3 linked regions of the Notamacropus eugenii genome follow. The protein of the gene in region 2 interacts with the protein of the main gene of each other region in a pairwise test. Links are inferred from orthologs where the notes say so. Each region holds a gene or a part of one and is shown on either strand. Other genes may lie near its edges.

Region 1 (7,926 bases), about 270 Mb from region 2:
TTCAACTTGAACCCAAGCCTTCACTTATCAGCTCTACCACACTACCTTTCTTTCAATTCATTAAACATTTATTAAGTACCCTTGAATACTGAGCACATAGCTAGACACATACGAGAGAGACACAAAGTTTGGAAGAAGAGAGGTCCTACCCTCAGTGTAGCAGAAAGTTATGACATAGACAAAAGTATTTATACAACGAAATAATACATCGTTAAGTATATCTTGGCAATGGAAGCAAAGTGGTACATAAAGTGGGGAGTTGAAGGGGGAAATGAGATCATTTCTAACTGGGGAAGCTTAAGCAGAGATGCAGGAGGAGAGCTACAGAATTGTAAGGGAGCTTAATAAGGGTGCGGAGGATCAGGAAATCCCTTCATACTGCCCTCTCCGATGGCCAGCGCTTGGAGTTCTCAGGAGATTTTCAGTTAGCAGTGAGCCAGGTATCTCACATCAAGGTATCAATCACAAAGGTATTCTTGAGAAAAGAAAATGTGGACCAAAGAGTCTGGTGAGTACATAAAAGATTTTCCAGAGCTTCAATGACCTCAGAGCAAAAGGAAATTGGTTGCCTTTCCCAACCCACCTCCACCTGAGTCCAAAGCCAGGATAATCACAGACAGAGACACATAAAATCTTAAAAATTACTTTGTGTGTTCTGCTGGTTTTACAGATGAGGAAAAGTGAAAGACTTGCCCAAAGTCACACAGCTAGTTTACGGCCAAGCCTGGAGTAGAATCAAAATCTTTTGCCCTCTTATTCCCCACCCCCTCACTTCTACTGCTAGGTCCTCACCTTGGCTTCCCAGTGCCACCAAGGGTTTCCTGCCCACAGAAGAAGATGAGCAATTAATTCTATTTCTCTTGGAATCCCATCTCACTAGAGCAATATGTTATAGAGCTGCTAGACCCCCTGGGAAGCCCAGCCTGGAAGGCTCAGGATATGGGAAATAAGGAGAGCCAGCCAAAGAAAGAAAAGCTATGTCTTTATTCCAGGGTTAACTTATTATGGGAATACTGGTAGATGAGGTTGCACACCTTCCCACAAAGGAATTTCAGAAACCAGTCTCTCCGCCGCCGGCTTCAACCTGTAGGCCCCTAAAACAGGGTTGCTGTGAGAGGAGCGATCTGTTGCCACTGTAAGGCCTGCACGCCCTCCTCTAGCTTCTGTCTGTTTCCTAGCAGGTGCTTCAGCCGGCCTCCAGGCACCCGGTAGAACCTCACCCAAAAGCCACTGGCACTCTGTCCAAAATCCTCCCCTCCCTGATGTCCACGACTTCCCAGAGGAAGCACGGGAGTGGAAGACAAGGAATGAGACCTTGTAAGGAGTAAATTGAGCAAAAGAGCAAACCTCATGGAAGGACTTCACACATACATACACACACACACACACACACACACACACACACACACACACACACAATCACATCCTTTCTAGCTGGTCTCAGTGGAAGGGGCTAAAGAGTACGAGCTTAAGGATTCAGCCTCAGGGTATGGGGGAGGGGTGCTCAGAACCCTGCAGGTTCTCCCCCACCTCGGCTAGCACTTACACCCAACACACCCCAGCTCGCAGCCTCTTCTTCCTTCGCCCTCAACCGGCCTCCCCGCCCCCGCCGCCCCAGGAGAATGGGCGGGCCTTCTTTGGGCATCTCCACCCAAACCCCTGCCGGCTTCTGGAGATGCAGAAGCCAGCAAAGCGGTGTGCCAGCACATGGCCGGGACAGCCCGGCGGGTGGAGTGCCGCCCCTAAACCCCAGCCCCCAGCCCCACCCCGACTCGACATGTGCAGGATCCTCTCCGAAAAGGCGCTGAGCGCTGGGGAAGTCCAGCGGCAGCCCTAGCCCCCGGAGCCTCCCGACTGCACCGCCGCAGCAGCTACGGGCAGGGGAGCTGGGCAAGCCGGGGCCGCCGCGGGGGGTCGGCTTCTTGCCACTGAACGACCCCCTCCCCCAACCCCCTCCAGTTCCAGCCCTCGGTCCTCCCCTTAGCGAAATGCGTCACGTCTGCATGCTGCTAGGGAGGCACCTGCACCCGCCCCCGCCGCCCCCACGCCCCTAATAAGCCCCGGGCGCCCGGAGTGGAGCTGCCAGGGCTGGAGAGGGAGAGAGACAGCGGGGGAGGGGCAGTGAAGAAACAGGGCACCCAGAAGACTGTGGCCATGCTACCGCCACTGTCACCGCAGCAGCCGTACCCAAGGAGCCACGCTGTCCGCCTGGCCCTGGGACGCCCGGCGCCGGAGAGCTCGCAAAGAACTGGGAGGTGCACGGGGTCCGCAATGCGCCCCCCGCCCCTGGCACATAGACACCCCCGCGTCCCTGGTCCTCCCCCCCGCCCCGACACACACACACACACACACACACACCACAGCGATACATGCAAGCACGCACAGACATTTGCAGACAGACACTGGGCGCTTCCTCGCGGGGGAGGGGGGAAGGGGGGCACTGAAGGCATGGGCTTCCTCCTCCCGCAGGGCTGGCGCAGCCCCCCACAGCCGGACTCACCTACATGGCCCTAGCCCAGCCTTCTCCTCCCCGCGGCTCCCCCTGCAGCCCTCCCCCAGCGCGGTGCCGCCTGGATCCTTACTTGCCGATATCTTCGTAGAGCTGGTACTCGTCGGTAAAGCGGGTGCAGGTCACGGTCGTGGCCATCGCTGCGGCCGCGGAGAGGGCTCTGCGAGCTGCCGCTTCCCCTGCTGCACGCTCTGGGCTCAGGCTATCGGCGGCGGCGGTGGCGGCGCAGGGCTCCCGGGGAGGCGCGGTGTAGCCGTCAAGCTGATCGGGCTCGGGCTCGGGCTCGAACTCGGACTCGGACTCGGACTCAGGCTCGGTCTCGGGCTCCGGCTTAGCCCCGCAGCGGCGGCGGCGGCGGCGGCGGCGGCAGAAGCAGCAGCAGCAGCAGCGCGGGCAGAGAGTGACACCTCCGCTCCAGGCGGGGGGCCGGAGGCTGGGGGGCTGGCTCTGGGCAGCGCAACGCGAGATCTGCTCACTGCGTGTGTGCCACACACCTACACGCGGGAGGAGGCGCGGGGCTCTGCCGCACACGCCGTGGACCGGCCCCTCCCTCTCCCTTGCGCGGCACCCCCCCACACACACAGACACCACGCACGCGGGGACCCGCACACAGCACAGCGTGGACCCACCCCACTCCTCCTCCCTGCGGAACACACACGCGGGGAAATGCTCCCAGCGCGGACCCACCCCTCCCTCTGCCCTGCCGGCAGGACCCTCCCCCCCACCCACAGTCACCCTCGAGGAGGCCAGCACCCCCGTGGATATGTAGTTCCACTGCACACTCGTGGGCGGACCCTCAACCCCCCCACCCCACCCCTTCTCCACACTGCACAACACCCTTCACACTCACACCCGAAAACTGAACGCCAAGTTAACCAATCCGACCCCTTCTCCCTTCAGGACACCCACGACTGCAGACAGGGTAGGTGACCCAACTCCGATGCCTGGAACACCTAGAAACCCTTTCTCTAAGGCTGAGGCAGGAGATTTGGTTTTGAACATAGACTATAAAGGCAGGGTGGAGTAGGGCAGAGCCCCTGGGGAGGGGCAGCAGCAGGGTTGTGAGGAGGTGGGAAAGCTGCCCCCTTATTTAACTCATCCCCTCAAACAAACTGGAACCCCGAAGGAGAAGGTAGAGTCCTTCCACCAACTGGATCCCTGGGACCACAGCTCCTGATTTTAGCCACCCTCCTAATCCTACCCACTCCTATCCACCCCCACTCACCCCCTACAAATGGTAGTTCTGAGCAAACGCAGCTCTGAGGCAAGATAGAGGGGGCAGGAGGTTAAGCTAATAAAAAGCAGACAGTCTCTTCCTACCAGCCACCATCAGGCATCTCTGGGTAGCTCTAACCTTATGGTCATCCTTGCTCTAGAGAGGGGACATTTCCTCCCCCTTCTACCAGGGCCCTTTGCCCACCCACCTGCCCACTCTTCAACGCCTGGAAGAGGATATATTTCCCCAACTGGAAGGGAGGCCCTGGACCCAGATTGCAGGCATCAGTCCCTCACTGCAAGGTGCCAGAGCTGTTGCTATGGGCAGCAACAGGGAGGAGGAGATAAGGATGCTGAGGAGGGGGAGGGAGGGAGTGGAAGAAAAACTGACCCGGTTTCACAAACAAGAAACCATTACTTCAGGGTCAGGTGCTGGATCTCTGATTCCCCAAGCTTCATATCTAGAAATTATGAGCAAGGAGGTGTCTGGCTGCACCTACCAGGATGGAACATAGTCTCAGTTCACAGAAGGATAGCCAGGAGGGTCTCCAGGGGCCATCTGGTCCAATCCCCTTATTTTGCATGTTAGGAAACCAAGGCCCACAGAGGTTAAGGTCACCCTAGTAGTGTCAAAGGAAGAATAGGAACCTGGATACTCTGACCGAATAACCATTGCTTATTCCCCTGATGCCTGATGGCAATGCCTTCAGTACCTTCCTTTAGGTTAGAATAGAGGAGGTGGTCGTCCGGGTTAGAGTCTGCTTATTGGAGAGTGTTGAACACTCGCTGTTGGAGCCAAAAGAGAGAACTACCAACGCTCATCTCAGTACAGCATAAGGAATTCTGGGTTTGAGGTCACGGGTCCAGAGTTTAAATCCTGGTTTTCTTCTTTAATACTTCTGTGACCTTGGTGAAGTCTTCACTTCTCAGACTTACTTTCCTTATCTGTAAAATGAGGGGGTTAGGGTAAATGATCTCTAAAGTCCCATTCAGCCCTAAATCTATGATCCTATAGCCTACGAAGCCTGGTTTCATCTGGCACTACTAATCTCCTCCTGAATCTAAACTGCATTCATGGTTATTCCTCTGAAGGGCCTCACTGCCCTGCTCCCAGAAAACAGGACCTCCTCAGGTTGGCATAATGAGATGAAATGACAGAATGCAAGAGACAAAACCCTGGCATCCATCTCCTGGCATCTTCTCTTCAATTGCTGCCAGTTGAACTCCTAGTCAGGCCTCCACCTTCCAGATGCCAGTGGTTGGTCCTTCCCAGGCAGAGGCCCCTTTATCTCCCCCCTTCCAGGGCCTCCAGTGCCAGTCTGTCCCAAGACAGGACCCCCTTCCACCTCCCCCCCAACCCCCAGGGCAATAACACAGGCAAAACAGTGCACTCCCATCCCTCCTCCAATCTTTGCCTGTTAGAAGAACCTCCTGGAACTTCACAGAAGACAGTATCACTACCTGCCATGAAACTGGATTGAACCCTGGGCAAGTCACTTGACCTTTGCCTGACTCAGTTTCCTGAACTGTAAAATGGGAATAATAATAACACCTATCTTGAAGGGTTGCTGTGAGGATCAAATAAGATAATATTTGTAAAGTGCTTAGCACAGTGCCTGCCACATAATAGGCACTTTACAAATGCTACTTATTATTATTATAATTATTATTAACAAAGAATGACTGGAGCCTTCTGTGTTGCCTAAAAATACATCCATATTTCTCTCATGCTTAAAAAAACCTCATCTGATCCTACCATATCCTACAATTGTCCTAGATCTCTTCTTGGCTAAACTCTTTGAGAAAGCTGTCTACACTCTCTCTTCTCTCACTCTCCTCTCCAATCTGACTTCTGACCTCATCATTCAATGAACACTTGACTGGACAAAGTTACTAGTGACCTCTTAACTGACAAATCCAATGGCCTTTTCTCAATCTTCATCTTCCTTGAACTCTCTGAAATCCTTGACACTGTTGATCATGCACTCGCTTCTCTGGCCTTTCATGATATGACTGTCTCCCAGTTCTCTTCCTTGCTACCTCTCTAACCAGTCATTTGCAGATTTCTCATCCTTGTTATAACCACCAACCATGGCTGTCCCCCAAGGCTCTGTCCTGAAACCACTTCTCTTTTCTCTCTATACTATCTTACTTGGTGATCTCATCAACTCCCATGGGTTTGGTTATCATCTCTATGCAGATGATTCCTAGGACTACATAATAACCTTAGTCGCACTTCTGAGTTCACATGATGTATTATCAACTGATGCATTTTTAACATCTAGAACCAGATATCCTGGAGGGAACTCAAAATCAACATGTTCAAAACAAAATTTGTTCTCTTTCCCCCAAACCAGTCCTTCTCTCCATCTCTTGAGCATCCCCATTGTTGTCAACTATACTCACCATCCTTCTAATCACCCAGATTCCCCACCTCAGTATCATCCTTGACTTTGACACTCTCACTCAACTTACATCTCCAATCCATTGCCAGAGAGTGTTGCTTCAACCTTCACAATATATATCACATATAACTCCCCTCCTTTCTACTCACACAATCTCCACCATAGTTCAGTCACTCATCAACTCTCTCCTAGATTATTGCCTCTAACTGGCATCCCTGCCTCAAGTCTTTTATTGCTCCTTAATCTTACTCCCTTCTCTCTGAGAATGTCCCTAACGTGTCCTGTATGTGGCTTGTTTGTCTGGGAAGCTGAGTGGCATTGTGGACAAAAAGGATGGCCTGGAGTCAGGGAGACCTGAGTTCAAATCCAGCCTTAGACACTTACTAGCTGTATGTCCCTGGGTTAGTCACTTAACCCTCATTTGTAGAATGAGCTGTAGAAGGAGATGTCAGGCCACTCCAGCATCTCTGCCAAGAAAACCCCAAATGGGGTCACGGAGAATCAGACATGGCTGAACAAGAGCAGCAGCAAATAGCTTGTCTGTACATAGTTGTTTGTATGTTGTCTCCACCATTAGACTTGAGAGCAGGGATTTTTTTCCTTTGTATCTCCAGGGCTCAGAAGGGGTTTAACAAATGCTAGTTGACTAAGTGGGCAGCTAGGTGGTGCAGTAGATAGAGCACCAGTGCAAGAGTCAGGAGGACCTGAGTTCAAATCTCACCTCGGACACTTGGCACACACTAGCTGTGTGACCTTGGGCAAGTCACTTCACCTCAGTTGCCTCATCCTGGGTCATCTCCAGTCATCCTGATGAATATCTGATCACTGGATGGATCTGGAAGAGAAGTGAGGCTGGTGACCTGCACAGCTCTCCCTCACTCAAAACAAAGTCAAGCGCAGGTCATGTCATCATTTCTCTGAGGGCATGGTCTTCTTTGGCAACAAAGGACGAACACAGGTGACTAAGTGGCTGAATGATCCACTGATACCAGTCTGCTTGTTTCTTAACTGTGAAATCCCATCTCCCATCTTGACATCTTTGTCATCTCTGACTCCTGGCGTCTCTGGGTTCCTTCTTCTTTCTAGGGGAGGCCTTTCCTGGCTTCCAGAGCTGCTATCGCCCTCTCTATACGATGACCTTCTATCTTCACTGTCTATACATTGCGTGTATCTAATGATTTCCCTGTTGCCTCCTTCATTAGCATGTATGCTCCTTCAAGGAATAGTTTACCTGTCTGATCTATGGAGAAGGGAAGAATTTATAACCAAACAGAAGATAGAGAATATTATGCAATGCAAAGTGGATAATTTTAATTACATTAAATTAGAAAGGTTTTGCACAAACAAAACTAATGCAAACAAGATTAGAAGGGAAGCAGAAAGCTGGGAAACAATTTTTACAGTCAGTGTCTCTGATAAAGGCTTCATTTCTAAAATATATAGAGCTGAGTGAGCAGAAGCAGGAGAACACTGTACACAGTAACAACGGTATATGATGACCAACTTTGATAGACTTAGCTCTTCTCAGCAATACAAGGATGTAAGACAACTTCAAAAGACTCATGATGGAAAATGCTGTCCACATCCAGAGAAAGAACTATGTAGCCTGAATGCAGATAAAAGCATACTCTTCTTTCTTTTCCTTTCTCATGGTTTTTCCCTTTTGTTCCAATTCTTCTATCACGAAATGACTGATGTGGAAATATGTTTAATATGATTGTACATATATAGTCCATATCAAACTGCATGCCATCTTGGGGAGGAAGGGGGACAACTTAAAAGTGAACGTTGAAAACT
Region 2 (7,580 bases):
ACAAAATAATATGATCTTTTATATTACTAGTTCCAGGGAAAATACAAACTTTTTATTTTACTTTAAAGAATTATGAAAATTTATAAGTCTCATGTTTTAGAAAATTGATTTTTGTTAGTAATATATTGTCCATCTTCATATTAAAAGATGCTACTTTCCCCTCACAATATTCTTGTAAATTATCTCATTGTAAACTAATCGATCATACTTTCTCAAAAAAAATTTGCTCTGAGATTCATTTATGAGAGGAGTTTATGATTACAAATGACAAATCGAAACCATTCTGTCTGGCTTTCAAAACCTTCTGCAGTCTGGTCCTGATGCCTGTTCAAATACTGAAGTAATGATAGTACATAAATCCTACAATTCAATTTGAAATACTTAATTGAAATTAATGTGCATTCAATTCAAATATCTATATCCTACAATTCAATGCAAAAATGCTGAGTTGACTGAAAAGACTCTCATGAAATGATACTGAATGAAGTAAGTAGAACCAGGAGAACACTGTACACAGTAACAGCAACATTGTTTGATGACCAACTTCAGAAGGCTTAGCTCTTCACAACAATGCAATGATCTAAAACAATTCCAAAGGACTCAAGATGGAAAATGCTATCTACATCCAGAGAAAGAACTATAGAGTGTGAAAGCAGACTGAAGCATACTATTTTCTCTTTTGTATTTTTCTTCCTCATGGATTTTCCCTTTTGTTCTGATTCTTCTTTCACAACATGACAAATGTGGAAATGTTTAATATGATTGTACATGTATAGCTTACATCAGATTGCATTCCATCTTGTGGAGGTTGGGGGAATGTAGAATTCAAAATTTCATAAAATTGAATGCTAAAAAATAAAAATATATAAATTTTTTAAAAAAAATGTTGAGTTGAATCCAGAATCCTTAATATGTAAATCCATGATTACACTAAAACTTACTCAACTCATTTCCCACACTTCCCACCACCTACACTCCCAACAGGCTAGTACTGTCATCACTCAAAGCAGAAGCAGTCCAAAACCAATGAAGAGTTTGAATACTGAATTCTTCATTTATTAGCTGTGTGGCCATAGGCTAGTCACTTCCCCTCTCCAAGTGTGTGATTTTCCTGATGTGTAAGAAAATACCAATGATAAGTGAGTCCTTTATAACAAGTTACCAGGGGGTGCACACCTGAGAGTGACTTTACCTATGAACACAGAGGTAGCGCCCCTGGACAAGAACCCAGGCCTTCCTGCCAGCAAAGTCATCCTCTCCGCCTGTAGTCTAAAAGCACAGGCATATTACTAATCACTGGGAACTAGGGATACAGGTACAATGAATGAAACAATGAATCCTCCAAGAAGCTTCACTTCTAATGAATGTTAAGGCAACACTGAAAGGATCTATCTCACAAAGACAGCACAGGGTAGCAGATACATAGGTGGCCTAGAAGGCAGGAAGACCTAGACTTTGGTGAAGTCCTGCCTCTAATACGTATTAGCTGGTTAACTCCAAGAAAGTCACTTAACCTCTCGGTGTTCTAAGTAACACCCTATAAATGAAGTTGCAGAGACAACACAGAACTAAAACTGGTAGTGGGAGTTTTGTTCCTTATCCCTTTGATCCCAGTACCAACTAAATCCTAAGTCCACTCCCATCCCTCATAGGGTGGCTATAAGGGAAAAAGATAGCAATTTTTAAAATTACATATTTAAAGAATATGTAAATGCAGCTGTTACTTAACCATTCTCTCACCCTCCACCGACCCTTCCTTCCCGGACCACTCCTGGGCCCACCTCCAGCATCACAGCACCTGCACTTCGGGTATACATGCAGCCCACAGCTAAGTGTTAGTCTCCTTTTCCCAACCACGGCCTGCCCACAGCTCAAAGGCACTGGTGCGGAATGCCAGCACATTCTCAAATGTTGGCTGGGAAAGGAAAAGTTCCTTAAGATAACATATAAAAACGAATTCTGCCACGGAAGCAAGGTTGCCTAGGATCCTATGCTACGTTGAAGCAAACCTCCGTCCTGGACGGTAACGTCAGGGATGACGTAACTGTCTAACGTATAGCAAAAGGGTAAACCGAGGAGCTGCACCGCACGGTTTCCACGGTAGAGAACAAGCGCACTTTCCAAGGCGATGCCATCTCTCTGACGCCAGGGCCCCAGCCGCAGCACAAGAGCGCCCCCGCCATCAGGCCCTGTCTCTGGCGGCCATGTTCCCGAGCGCCGGGAGGAAGGCGGCCCGAAACGCCCGGTAGGTCCCTCGGCCTCGGCCATGGTTCCCCGCCTGGGCCGAGCTCCGGGGCCGAGTTCCGGGCCTTCCTCCCCCTCCTGGGCAGATCCTCGGGACCCAGGCGGGGGGAGGGGCGGCTACCTGCTCACCTACCCGAGAGGCCCGACCCGGGGAACTACTCTCGGTGTCCTCATCTGTCAAATCCAAACCCTACCTCTCACCCTTCTGCGACCCTGCCCCGAACAGCTCGGGGAGTCAGCAGTCACGCGGTGTTCCCCTCTCTGGGCCTCAGTTTCCCCCTCTGTAAAAATGAAGGGCGCGACCCCGATCAGGGGCCCGGCAGCCTCCGGACCCCGGCCAGGAGCGCGCTTATAAACAACTGAAGGAAAAGCTACATTTCCGTGGGAGGGGCGGCCAACAAGCTCGGGTAACGACCACAAGGGGCGACGGCGCTCCGGGGACAAAGAGAAAGGCAGGACCGGCCCTCCGCCAGCAAACAAAGGCGCCGCCACATCGCGGCCCTCGGGGACTCGATCTAGCACCCCTCCCCCCCACCCCCCGGCTTCAGGTGCTCCGCGGTGACTTAGCGGAGCCTCCTCAGGCCCTCCCCCCGCCCCTCTATCGCGGCCTACCCGCCCCCACCGGGGCCCTCGGCCCGCACTCACCCTCCTGGAATTTGGGCTTCGGGTCCTGCTTCGGCGCCATTTATGAACGACTCTCCGCCTCCGCCTCCTGCTTCTCCGCCTCCTCCCCCCGCCGTCGTCGTCGTCGTCCTCGCCGCCGCCGCAGCCACCACCGCCCCGCACCACGCCCAGCCTAGCGTCACGCCCGGCTCCGCCCCCGGCCCGATTAGCCAGAAGCCCGCAGGCCGCGAAGCACCAAGAGCCGCGCGCGCACCCTTGGCCAAGGACTGCAGTGGGGGGACGGGCACGCGCACGTTTCGGCGCACGCGCAGGCCCGCCCCCGGGCCGCCCGAGGCATGCTGGGAGGGGAGTTGGCTGGCTTTTTTTCCCAGTACGTCACTCAATCCAGGAATGGCGAAGACCTTTTGTAAGTGCCCGGTACGTGCCGTGGGTGGGGCAGGAAACCGTCCCTGCCCTCGAGGAGCCACGGACTGATAGGAGAGATAACCTGCAGTTCTCCTTCTTTTGAGTTCCAGCTTCTCTCCTTGCCCCACCCGCATTTACTCAAGTGAAGTCGAGCAAAGCCCGCGTCTTAGCCAAAGAAGACAACTTGCCACAGAAAGGGTAGACTGGGGTCCTCTCTGAGTCAAAGCACGTTTGTTAATCCCCTACTCGGCCCTAGGCACCGTGCAGAGTGCTGAGGAGCTGTCAGCCGAACGGGGGAGAGCATACAAATACTTATCCACGTACGAGCAGGACGCATCCAGGATCAATTACAGATAATCTCGAAGTCCATGAGCGTGTATCAATCGCTTACCCTGTGCCAGGCACTGGGCAGTGCTGGGAATGCAAAAAAGGGGCAAAAATAGGCCCTGCCCCAAGTTACTCCCAGTCTGATGATGGAGGTAACTTCTCAATAGCAACTAGGGTTTTAGTTCATGAATCCCCCTGACTAGAAAGGAGCCGGAGCAGGATTTGAACCCACCTTACCCTTTAGAGCAAGCTGCGCCCAGGACTGTATAGGAAGCTGGGCATGTGGGGGTGATGAGATTCCATCGAACAAGCCTTTATTTGATGCTAGGAGATAGAGGGAGATGAGGCCAGAAGGACAGCCCAGGGGAATTCCTCCTAAGAAGTGGAAAGGAGGTGAAATCTCATTAGAAGCAGGAAGCTTGGCCAACTTGGTAATAGAAGACTTCATGAGCTGTGGAAGGAACTCTAGATTTGGAGTCTAAGACCCGAGGTTGCAGTCCCAGGGCTGCTTCCTAATAGTTGTGTGGTCCCCACTCAGGCATCTTGGTCTACTCTCAGGTTGTGCTCCTCCAAACTTTTCAAAGAAGACCATGACATTGGAGAAATGATGATATGACTTGCAGTTGACTTTGTTTTGAGTGAGGGAGGGCTGTGCAAGGGCACCAAGGTCACCTGCAGCTGTTGGAGTGGATGAAGAACCAAGGAAGGAAGGGAAATCCTTCCCAAGGAGAAGTATTTCCCATTGCTCAAGCACTTCGCTTACAATAATTTTGGAAGATGCTGCCATTTTATAACACCCAAGCTGATTTCAAGAGTAAAAGGACTGCAGCAAAGAAAAGGGCAGGAAAAGATGAGGGGACAGAAATTAGTTGGATTTGTCTGGGACTTAGAGCAACTGAGTCAAGTGAGATAAGATTAGACGCAAAACCAGCGTAAAGACACCTTGCAGTAGAATTAGAAGTGCATATTCCATAGGAAAATGAGGATCCAAACAAAGTTTTTAAATAATGGAGTGCCACAAGAAAATAAGCATTTATTAAGCACCTTCTGTGTGCCAGGGACTGTGTTAAGTACTTTTTACTCATTACATTTTACTCATTTGATCCTCACAACAATCCTAGGAGGTCAGTGCAGTCATTATCCCCATTTTACAGTAGAGAAAACTAAGGCAATCCAATGTTAAGTGACTTGCCCAGAGTCAGACACCTGATAAGGATCTGAAACTGGATTTGAACTCAGCTTTTCTTGATCCCATGCCTAGTGCTCTATCTTAGTGTTCTACCAGCTGCCAGAAATAATCAGATCGATTCTGTCTTTTTTTAATTGATCCTATTTACAATTAATTGATTTTGTCAGGTAACTTAGTAAGTCATGATTCTTTGTGTCTGAACGTAGTTCAGAAATTCATTTCTTCAATGAGGTAAGTTTAGAAATCCAATTCTCTTGTTAATCCCTGTTCTATTTTTTGTGTCTGGTTTGTAATAAATCTGGTCCATCATCTCTAACCTTGCAGGTGGACTCAAATAATGAACATTTCTTAGGCAGTGGAGGAAAGGAGGGGGTTTTTTTCTAGCCCCTTATTCCTATTTTCTAACCAACCATCACTTGTTCCCCACCTGAAAAGTCCTGTTCTTTGTTCTGTATTTCCCTAAAAACTATAAAAAAATGGTGACCATTCCCCACCTCGGTGTCTTAGCTTTGCTGGGGAAGCTGAGATCCTAATTATTGGTAAATTCACACTTTACTAATAAATTGATCTGGCTTGGAAATCTGTACTTCAGATTATTTTTATTATGTTTATTTTAAACATAACAACTGGCAACCACAAAGGAGCTGGGGATGGGAGACTAGTCCTTGGAGTAACTTCTTAGCCCCCTTCCCTCAGCCTTCCAAGAACCCTCAAGTGACATTTTCACCAGGGGGATTTCTCTGCAGAGAATTTGTCTAAAGACCTGACTGCCCATCTAGCCTCAGCCTCTCCAAGCCAAGGTAATCTCTCAACACTCTTGGGGAAGCTGTAGCTTGGTTTGTTTGCCTTGATGTCTGTGTTTTAAGTATTATTGTTTGGTAATAATTGACAGTTGGAAACTCAGGAAATTCCCCCCTACAGTACAACCCCATGGAGAAATTTTATTTTCTTTAGGGGAGATGCCAAGAAGTGATCAAAAGAGGTATATCAATGGTGCCCATTTAGGGAAGTCATAAAGTAAAGTCCCAGGCCACTCACTGCCCTGGGCAGGAAAGAGAGGTTAAGTCCCAGGCCTCTTGCTATAACTAGCAAGTAGGAAAATTGAAACCATTCTAAAGGAGTTGGGGCAGGACAATGTCACAAGTGACATTATTGGTAAGTGGAACAGCCGGTGGTCACAAAATTGACAAATGATTGATAAACCAGTAATGGACTCTTCCCAGTAAAAAGCGGCTAGCTACAATTAGAAGTCAGAAAGATTGTTAAATGATAAGGAATGTCTCTCCAGCCAACACCCAGGCACACCCTTACCCAAATTAGTCTATGATATATCAGAATCCGGAAGGGTCCCGTATTTGGCCTGAGAAGAGACTTTTCACCTATGCACACTATTTTTTTTTAAAGGAAACTTTGTCACTGGTGCTTATTATCATTGTGTGCACAGAGTTAAGAAGAAAAAACCCTGCTGGCAAATGCTTCTCTTTGTCTGGTAAAATAACTCTTTCTTGGGAAAACAAATGTGAACTTTTCTGAACACTTCTCTAAGTCTTCAAAAAGGCATTCGCTTTTTCTCTACATTTCTAAACTCTGGCCAAGTTTTGGCAGCACAGAGAGAAAAACATAAAAAGAAAAGGGAATAATTGCCTTCAGACCATATAATGTTATGACATCATAAACTAAGTAGAAACTGATTTTGTGAATAAAATGTAAGTTTTCCACTGTGAATTTTCAAATTGTGGATTGAATATTTTTATAAATGCTAAAATATTCTAGTGAATTTGGGGTTAACATTCTTTAGAATTTGTTTTGAAGAAATTAAGAACATAATTGTGAATGTTACATAAACTTTTTATCTCTCTTGCCCTGGAGAATGACAGATTTATTGTTTTACAGATAAGAGAAAAAGGTCATTTTGCTGCTTAGAAAGAAGCTAGTTTGAAAATAGTATCAGTGAATTTTCAAAGCAAAGGGGAAAAAAACAAGTTTGCCTTTTAAAATGGTATATTCAGTTTTCTGCCCTAGATGGCATGAGAAGGGTACAGGCAAATTTAGGAGCATCACCATAACTGTGCATGAGAGAAAGAACAAAGGAAGAGAAAATTTGAACCAGCATCTCCACCTGATCCCCAGAGGGTTCTACCACTGCAGTTTAAAGAAGAGGAACTCCGTTTGGGCTAATTTCAAAGGAAGTTTACAGTTTGAATTTTAAAAACTGTCTTGTGTTTTGCCCATGAAAAGAGAAACTTATTTAAAGGAGCAACTTGAAAATAAGTGAAATTTAATTTGAAAAAAATGCTTTATGTGGCTCCTATGAATAATATAACAGAATTTAATTTAAAAAGGTATTTGATAAGAAGGATATGAGAAATACTATGTGGTTATTCTTTAGTAACATTTTTGCAACATGAAATTATTTGAAGATAGTTTACGAAATTTAAAGGACCATGAGAAGAGTACATTTTAGTTTTTATGTGAAGAATATAGTCTTCATGGACCCTTAAAAGAGAGGATGATGATACAAGACTGCCTCTTTAAATCTTTGGCAGTAGACTAACTGGGAGTAGAGAGCCCTGTAATGTGAAGCACAGGGAAAGCATAGCCATTAGGAGAATTGAGATTTTGTGATTGTAAATCCAGACGTGGTGTGTTAAAGGTTTGCCCTGAAACTAAATTATAATGCAATTTGGTATTAAGGCAAAATGTCTGAAGAGCATGGATCAAGGAAAATAGGAGTTAAAAAATTCAACCTCTGTAAATTTGTTGGCTGTGTGATTTTAAGCAAGTAACTTTG
Region 3 (7,107 bases), on a different chromosome or scaffold from region 2:
GTTACTGGTTCCTTCGTCATAGGGACCATGTCGATTGCAGCAGGTAGGTGTGTAAGGGGTGGGGGAATTTTCTCTCTTTACCTTTTCTATGTGTTTCTTTCCAGACCTTTTTCTTTCTCCCTCACTTCTTTCCTCTCCTTTCTCTGTTTTTCCTCTTCCCTTCCTTTCTTCAGTGTGAGGGGTGGAAGGCATCTGAGGCTTATGACTTGATTTCCCAGTGGAAGTGGAGTGTTAGAAATAGTAGTTAAATCAGGGAGAGTTCAAGTAATACTGGAGCATTATCCTGACTAGAGAAGAAGGAATGAATGGGACTTGAGGGGGAAGGGAAGTTCTGAGAACGTTCCTAAAAGTTGTTTTGAAAGGGCTGTACATACAGATAAATGTCTGGACATGAAATCACTTACAGATCCTGGAGTACTCAGATAGACTTGTCTTTGTAGACAGGAAAAATGTCCTTATGAGATCCAGGAGTCTCATTCCTAGAGATTCCTGATGGATAAAACCTGAAAACCATGTAAAAACCCCCTCCCACTTTTGCCTAGCACATGCTGCCTTTTCTGATTGGTAGCCCTGCAGTGCACCACTCCCTAGGCTGTGGACTTTGTGTAAGAGACAAATGAGTCCTGCACCTAAAAAGCCACAGAAGAGTGATGGATCTGGAGTCAGAGGACCTGCGTTTAAAACCCATCTCTGCTGCTTAATTTCCTGTGTGATTTTGGGCAAGTTGCTTCTCCACTCTGGGTTTCAGGTTCCTCATCTATAAAACAAGGGAGTTAAAGTAAATGAATTTCTAAGTTCATTTAGTTCTAAGATGGCTTTCCAGCTCTGAATCTGTGATTCTATGAAAATTAGTGGGAACCTATCTTGTTAACTTCTGGCCTCCTGATAATTATTAAGACATTTTATTTTTATTTCTTATTCTGCAATAGAGAGTGAGGTTCTTAAATTGTTATTTTAACTTTATCTGTCAGCTCACCTTTTCTCTCAGTTATGGTTCCTGATAAATAAATGCAAAATAGGACCTCAACATTTAAAGGAAACTTGTAATGGTTTATAAAATGAATAATCAAATTATAACCTAATTTATCTACTTTCCAAATTTGGGTGTATGGAAGTGTATAGGGGGCATGCCTGTAGGCTGTTTCCAGCTGAATCTCCAGAGGAAAGATGGGGTTTGAATTCCCTTCCTCCCTGCCCCACTCCCCACACCCAGGATTCCCTAAATTCACTTCTCTTCTGACAACTCTCCAAGAAAAATACAAAAACTGTATGCTAGACACATCACAAGTTGAGAGAGAGGGCAACTCAGTTTAGGATGAGGGATTGGTGTCCTTGTGAGAGGTGAGCTATTTGCTCCTAGGGTAGAGGAAGGGGAACTGATCTCTGGGTAGAAGGAGGGATAAATTATACCTTCACTTCAATTTTATGATTCCTCAGGGAGTAGTCAGATAAACTTCATATTTCAAGTCATACTCTGCAAAGCCAGCCATAAATAATTTGAGGTTTATTCTGGACCACAGTGTTTGGATTATCTAGGGTTCTGTTTTCTTGCTGTTAAAAGTGAATTGTTTTGTGTTTGCATTAGGGAAAAGCCTGAGAAGAGGAATTTTAGATACTTCTTTCATTCCTTTCCAACAGAAGAAATAGAAGCAGTAGGATAAGAGCAAGACTGGGAGTTAGGTGCCCCCACTTTGACTGACAGTGTAGTTAGAGAGCAGGCCTCAAAGGCAGGAAGACCTGGGTTCGAGTCCTGCCTCCAACACCTGACTGACTGTCTTTGATTCTGTGTAAGTTCCTTGACCTCTTAGTAAGCTAAGGAGAGGTTCTTCACCCCGTAGTTCCCCTACACCAGTGAAATCACATGTCTAGCCTCTACCCTTCTTCGTTTTTAAGGTTAAACAGAATAACTGAAGGAAAGATGGGCTTAAGAAAAGGTGAGACCTATTCAGATTTCTGGAACAGTAGAGATTGGAGGGGAAGGAGTTACTGCCCTGGCCCCTAGTCATTTCTGATGTAAGAATGAGGGGGAGAAAGCCACTCTTTCCTATTATTTTAATAACATTTCCTCTCAATAGGACTGTACTCCTCAAACCTTCTCTTCCCGTGGGCAAACCTCCCTAATTTGGAATATATTATAATTGGGGGAAGGCTGGTCTTCAATAAAAGACATCTGAATGATCGAGTATTTAAAAGAAATGGAGTTTTTATTTTAAAATACATACAATAACGAACTAAGCTAACAGTGTTTCCTAATTGAGGCCCTTAGGAAATCTGATTTAATGAATACGCAAGAAAGAAAAGTTTGTTCTTTTGTATAGGTTAAATGTCTCCCCTGCAGTTGCATTTCTGCCATTAATTTGCTCAGTACACCCTTTCTTCATGGAAAAAAGTAAACTTCAGTCCATTCTTTGTTCATGTTATCACAAATTCTAAATCAGTAGGGGTCCAGATTAATGAGATTTTTTGTATAGCCCCCCAATACTGCTCCTAGTCACAAAATTCCTACCGCAGTTCAGAATGTATTCAGGCAAAGATATGAGTATTCAGGTGAGGAGAGAAGAGAAGGTTAGGTTAGTTGTGGAGGAGGCAGGATTAGAAAATAACTAGCATTTGCATAATACTTTAAGGCTTGCAAAGGGGCTTTACAAATATTATCTTAATTCTCACAACTACCTTGGGAAGTAGATGCTATTATTAGTCCTGTTTTACAAATGAGGAAACTGAGGCAGGCCTAGATATAAAATGACTTGCCCAGTGTCACATAGCTAGTAAGTGTCTGAGGTAGGATTTGAATTCAGTTTTGTCTGGTCTCTAGATCTAGATCTTCTATAGAAAGGTCATTCTGTGCCTTCTAGGTGTCTAGATTTCATAGGGTCCTTTATTCCTCGAGCTAGTTTCTTGGTTTGACTCCTCAGTTTAAGTGCCCTCAACTTGTATAATGGGATGTGGGTCTGGAGGAAAGGATAATACCTTCCTCTCCCCCTTTCTGTACCCCCAGAGGATGCAACTTCTTTGATGAAGGTGAGAAATGTGATGTATGGGTTGGGCTGAGGGAGGAACAAGAGGGTGAGTCCTGGGGTTGGGGTGGAAGTCATGGTTGTTGGGTAAGGTTGGTTGGTGGGGACAGAAATGAGGATCCCTTGAAGCGTCTCAATAAGTCCGCGCTCTCCCTCTTTGGTGTCTTGCAGGAGAGGCAGCTTCCCACCCTGGGTCCAGCAAACCCGCGTGTGACGCTGGCTCCCCCCTGGAATGGCCTGGCTCCCCCACCCCCACCACCCCCGCCCCGGCTGCAGATCACAGAGAACGGCGAGTTCCGAAACACCACGGACCACTAGTCCACCCAGCCTCATTGACATCTCTCAACCCTACCACTACCATCTCCAACCCTGGACCACCGCCTGCCAGAGACCAGATGTCGCCGAGGGACCAAAGGACTGACTTCTCTGTGGGAATGACTCCCACCCCTACCCTCCATTCTTCTGGGGAAGGGGCTGGGGACCTTCAAACTCTCCTTCCCTTTCTGCTGGGGCAATGCCTCCTGTATGTCTCCCCAGGGCACTCCTTTGAGGGCCCTCACCTCTCATACATCTCCCTTCCACTCTGGGGTGCTATCCCCATTTTCTGCCTCATTCCCACTCCCCTGAGCACCGGGGGACAGTTCCCACTCCCATCTTGGGGGGTGTGACACCTCCAAACTCTCGACTTCAGGGTGATTTTTTAGCTGTAACCAGAGCCGACAATCTAACTCTCCCCGTCCCCCCATTTTGGCCTCCCCTGCCCCCCTCGTTATGGGGAGGGGTCCCCAGATGGGGGCCCTACTCCCCTTTGATTTCTCAGGAGCGCCTGGGGGGGCTCAGCACGCACAAACTCCTTCTCCTTCCACCATTCTTCTTAAACTCACTCCCTCCCACCTTGACCCTAGATGGGGAGGAGGGGGCCACTAGGGGCAGGGAAGGAGGGGTTGGGCAGGGGGGATGGGAGTCTTCTCCCCTTCCTCCCACACCTGATCTGCTCTTGGCTGGTCCCAGAGCGGGGTGAGGGGTCTTATGCCCCAGCCTCCCCTGGTGTGTTGGGTGGGTGGGTGGGAGAAATGAGGCAACAGGGAGAGGTTGGGGTTTACGAGGGTGGTGTGTGTTTATGGGGACACCAATTTATCTGCCTCCCCTAATTCTCTCCTGCTCCCTCCCTCCTGCTCTCTCTCCCTCCCCTTGGTCTCTACTCCCAGGGGGAGGGGGGAACTTAATCTAGGAAAAGCCATGTCTCTCTCCCCCGAGAGTGGGGTGGTGTAGGGGGCCCCCTTCCGTGTCTCTGTCCCCTTGGGAGGTGGGACAGGGCTGGGCTTCCCTCTTCCCCTCCCCGCTGCTCCCTCTCCCATTCTCTTACCGCCAGCTCCACAATTTTTCGGTGTTTCTCTCTGTACATAGCTCTTTGGTGGGATGGAAAAGGTAGGATGGATGAGGTTTGGGGGAGGTGGGCCATGGGGGAGGAGGGAACCACCCCCTCTTTGGTATCCCCTTCCCCTGACTGCCATCCCCTCTCCCTGCCTTGCTCTTTTCTTCTTTCGTTTGGTATTGGGGCCCTGGCCCTACTGCCCTACCCCATCTACCCATATTATTCTTTTGTATGGACAGTTCTCCCACAATTCCACTCTCCTCACATACCCAGCCGGGGCCGAATTTATAGTATATAGAAGTTGTAAATATGTGAAATTTTATCCCCTGTGCCCTTCTCTCCTTTGCTCTCCCCAACTTTAGGCCCCACTTCAGTGCCCGTTTCCTCTCCCGTCTTTGGCTGTTGTAATTATCTGGGGTTTGTACTGTACATATCCAGGGTGTGTGTGTGTGTGTGTGTGGGCTGGGGGGTGATTCCTCTGTACAAAGCTTCCTGGCCCTCCCCTCTTCCGTGCTCCCCATCCACCCTTCCAAGGGTGGCAGACTTGCCCTACCTCTGGTTATTTTTTTTTCTTGTTCTATGCCCCAATTCCATTCACAGCCTTCTCTGTCCCTCCCTCCCCATCCTATTTTTCTCCACTCCCAGCCCCATTTCCTTTTTTTCTGGAGTGTGTGGTGAAACAGAAAATCATGTTTAATAAAAGGAGATTGTTCTTTTATTGCTGTGCTCCTGACTTTCTCCCTGCCCAACCCATGCAGGAACCTCCCATAGGAGTAGTGGGATCTCCTCATTGAGGGCAAGACTGGGAGCCATTGACTACATTATTCCCCTCTGATGTCACAAGCTCTGCTCTGACTTGACTACTCTGATTTATTTTAAAATTATTAAGGGCTGGCACTCTGGGGGAAGGGCCCTCCCTTTTCAACCAGAAGGGCCTCTTTTTAGGCTGTCTCCCTGCCCTAAATTTGGAACTTGCCTTACCTCTCATGGAGCTCCTTGTTTTCGCCCTACACATACCAGGGCATGTGCCGAGGGTGGCCAGACTGACCAAGAGGTAGGGGGCTAGGATTGACTGATAACTTGGATAAAGGGCTGCAATAAATTTATTTTTCAAAAACTTATTACCCCCACGTTTTTTTCTCTATCGTTGGTTGGTTAAGGGCAGCTAGGTGTTGCAGTGGAAAGAGTGACAGACTTGGAGTCAGGAAGACTCATCTTCCTGAGTTCAAATCTGGCCCCAGACACAATACCTGTATGACCGTAATCAAGGCCAAATGTTTTACCCCATTTGCCTCAGTTTCCTCATCTGTCAAATAAGCTGGAGAAGGACACGGCGAACCGCTCCAGTATCTTTGCCAAGAAAACCCCAAATGGGGTCACCAAGAGCTGGACAGGACTAAACACGACGGTTTGTATGTCTCATGTAGCACTCCTAGCATTTCGCGTCTTGGTGTTGGCAGCTCCTTGTAAAGACGTTCCTCAAGGTTCCTCTGCTGTTAATGACAGGGCAAACATCAGCCACAGCAGTAACTCTTCTTACGGCTGTTTCAAGGTTGATGAATGCAAGACTTGGCGGTAGGGCCAGAGTTTCTCCGCTACTTGTGGCCCCCCAGAGGACACCCGTCCCAGCCCTACCCTGCCTCTGACTTGGCGAGAACTTGTCTTGCTGCCCCTTCTCTTAAATGGTCACGAGCAGTCAGTGCTTTTCCCCCCCGGACGCTTGTCAAACCCTGGTGGCGGCCAATCTTCATTTTCTAATTTTTAATTTTATTTTCCCCCACTTAGTAGTGTTTAATTTTTCCAATTGCATATATAGTTTTCAACATTTTTATAAGATTTTGAGTTCCAACTTTTCCCCTCCCTCTTCTCTCCCCCCTCCCATGTTGTGAAAGAAGAATGAGAAAAACTGAAAGAAAAACCCAGGCCAGCGCGCTTCCTGCATTCAGGCTCCCCGGCTCTGTCAGGAGTCTCGGCGCTGCCCTGCATCGCCGCCGCGGAGAAGGGCCAGGCCTAGGCGCGGTCAGCGCGGGGCTGGGGCTGCACGCCGCACCAGGCCACCTGGGGCCCGCCAGCTTTTCCGGGGAGCCGCCTGCGCACCGTTTCCTGAGGCGCAGCCGTAGTCCAGGGCAGTCCTAGACCTCCCAGACCTCCAGCTCACTCATTCCCCTCGCACGGGCATCCCCTCAATTTCCAATTCTTGGCCGCAAGGCGGCCAATCCTAATAGGGCTTGTACACTCGCTGCGAACGCTGACTTGTGATTGGCGGCCGTGCCAGGCCCCGCCCAATCGCCTTGAGGCTGGTGTTCGGGCGCGGAGGTGGCGGTGCGTTCCCTGCTGGCGGAGAGCTCGAGTCCCCGCCCGGAGGTATAACTGGGGGGCGGGGGGGAGGGCTTCCGCGGCTCCGGGTAACGGAAGGCCGGGGAAGGGGCCGGCGGAGAACCCCGCAAAGCCCGGGGGGAGCACGGGATGGCGTGGGCGGGGCTCCCGCTTCCGGGGTCGGCGGGCTTTTAGGGAGGGGGGTGGGGAACCTGCGACTTCAAGGCCACAGGAGGCCTTCTAAATCCTTGAGTGCGGCTTTTGGACCGAATCCAAATTTTGTTCCGTAAAATCTGGATTCGGTCCAGAGGCCGCACTCAGGGATTTAGAAGGCCCCTGGGGCCGCAGGTTCCCCACCCCTGCTAGGACTTGGGGACAGCCGGGGCGTTACAGGCCGAG

What was found.
Region 1: the proteins of MORF4L1 (region 2) and CAMK2B interact in binary tests that used the Homo sapiens proteins (3 or more experiments, as listed by UniProt). The two-hybrid records come from large-scale screens. The link is inferred for Notamacropus eugenii from reciprocal best matches to the Homo sapiens genes MORF4L1 and CAMK2B.
Region 3: the proteins of MORF4L1 (region 2) and ZBTB9 interact in binary tests that used the Homo sapiens proteins (3 or more experiments, as listed by UniProt). The two-hybrid records come from large-scale screens. The link is inferred for Notamacropus eugenii from reciprocal best matches to the Homo sapiens genes MORF4L1 and ZBTB9.

What each region holds. Positions count from the first base shown.
Region 1 is NC_092872.1:522,555,659-522,563,584, forward strand, and holds the start of CAMK2B (calcium/calmodulin-dependent protein kinase type II subunit beta), read right to left. Parts: upstream 3,017-7,926; 5' UTR 2,648-3,016; coding exon 2,583-2,647; intron 1-2,582. UniProt on the Homo sapiens protein: Calcium/calmodulin-dependent protein kinase that functions autonomously after Ca(2+)/calmodulin-binding and autophosphorylation, and is involved in dendritic spine and synapse formation, neuronal plasticity and regulation of sarcoplasmic reticulum Ca(2+) transport in skeletal muscle.
Region 2 is NC_092872.1:254,625,545-254,633,124, forward strand, and holds the start of MORF4L1 (mortality factor 4-like protein 1), read right to left. Parts: upstream 3,013-7,580; 5' UTR 2,930-3,012; coding exon 2,890-2,929; intron 2,571-2,889; exon of another isoform or gene 2,439-2,570; intron 1-2,438. UniProt on the Homo sapiens protein: Component of the NuA4 histone acetyltransferase (HAT) complex which is involved in transcriptional activation of select genes principally by acetylation of nucleosomal histones H4 and H2A.
Region 3 is NC_092873.1:89,448,747-89,455,853, forward strand, and holds the start of ZBTB9 (zinc finger and BTB domain-containing protein 9), read left to right. Parts: upstream 1-4,091; 5' UTR 4,092-5,800; intron 5,801-6,287; 5' UTR 6,288-6,756; intron 6,757-6,823; exon of another isoform or gene 6,824-7,107. Other genes in the region: SYNGAP1 (ras/Rap GTPase-activating protein SynGAP), read left to right, coding at 3,189-3,335. UniProt on the Homo sapiens protein: May be involved in transcriptional regulation.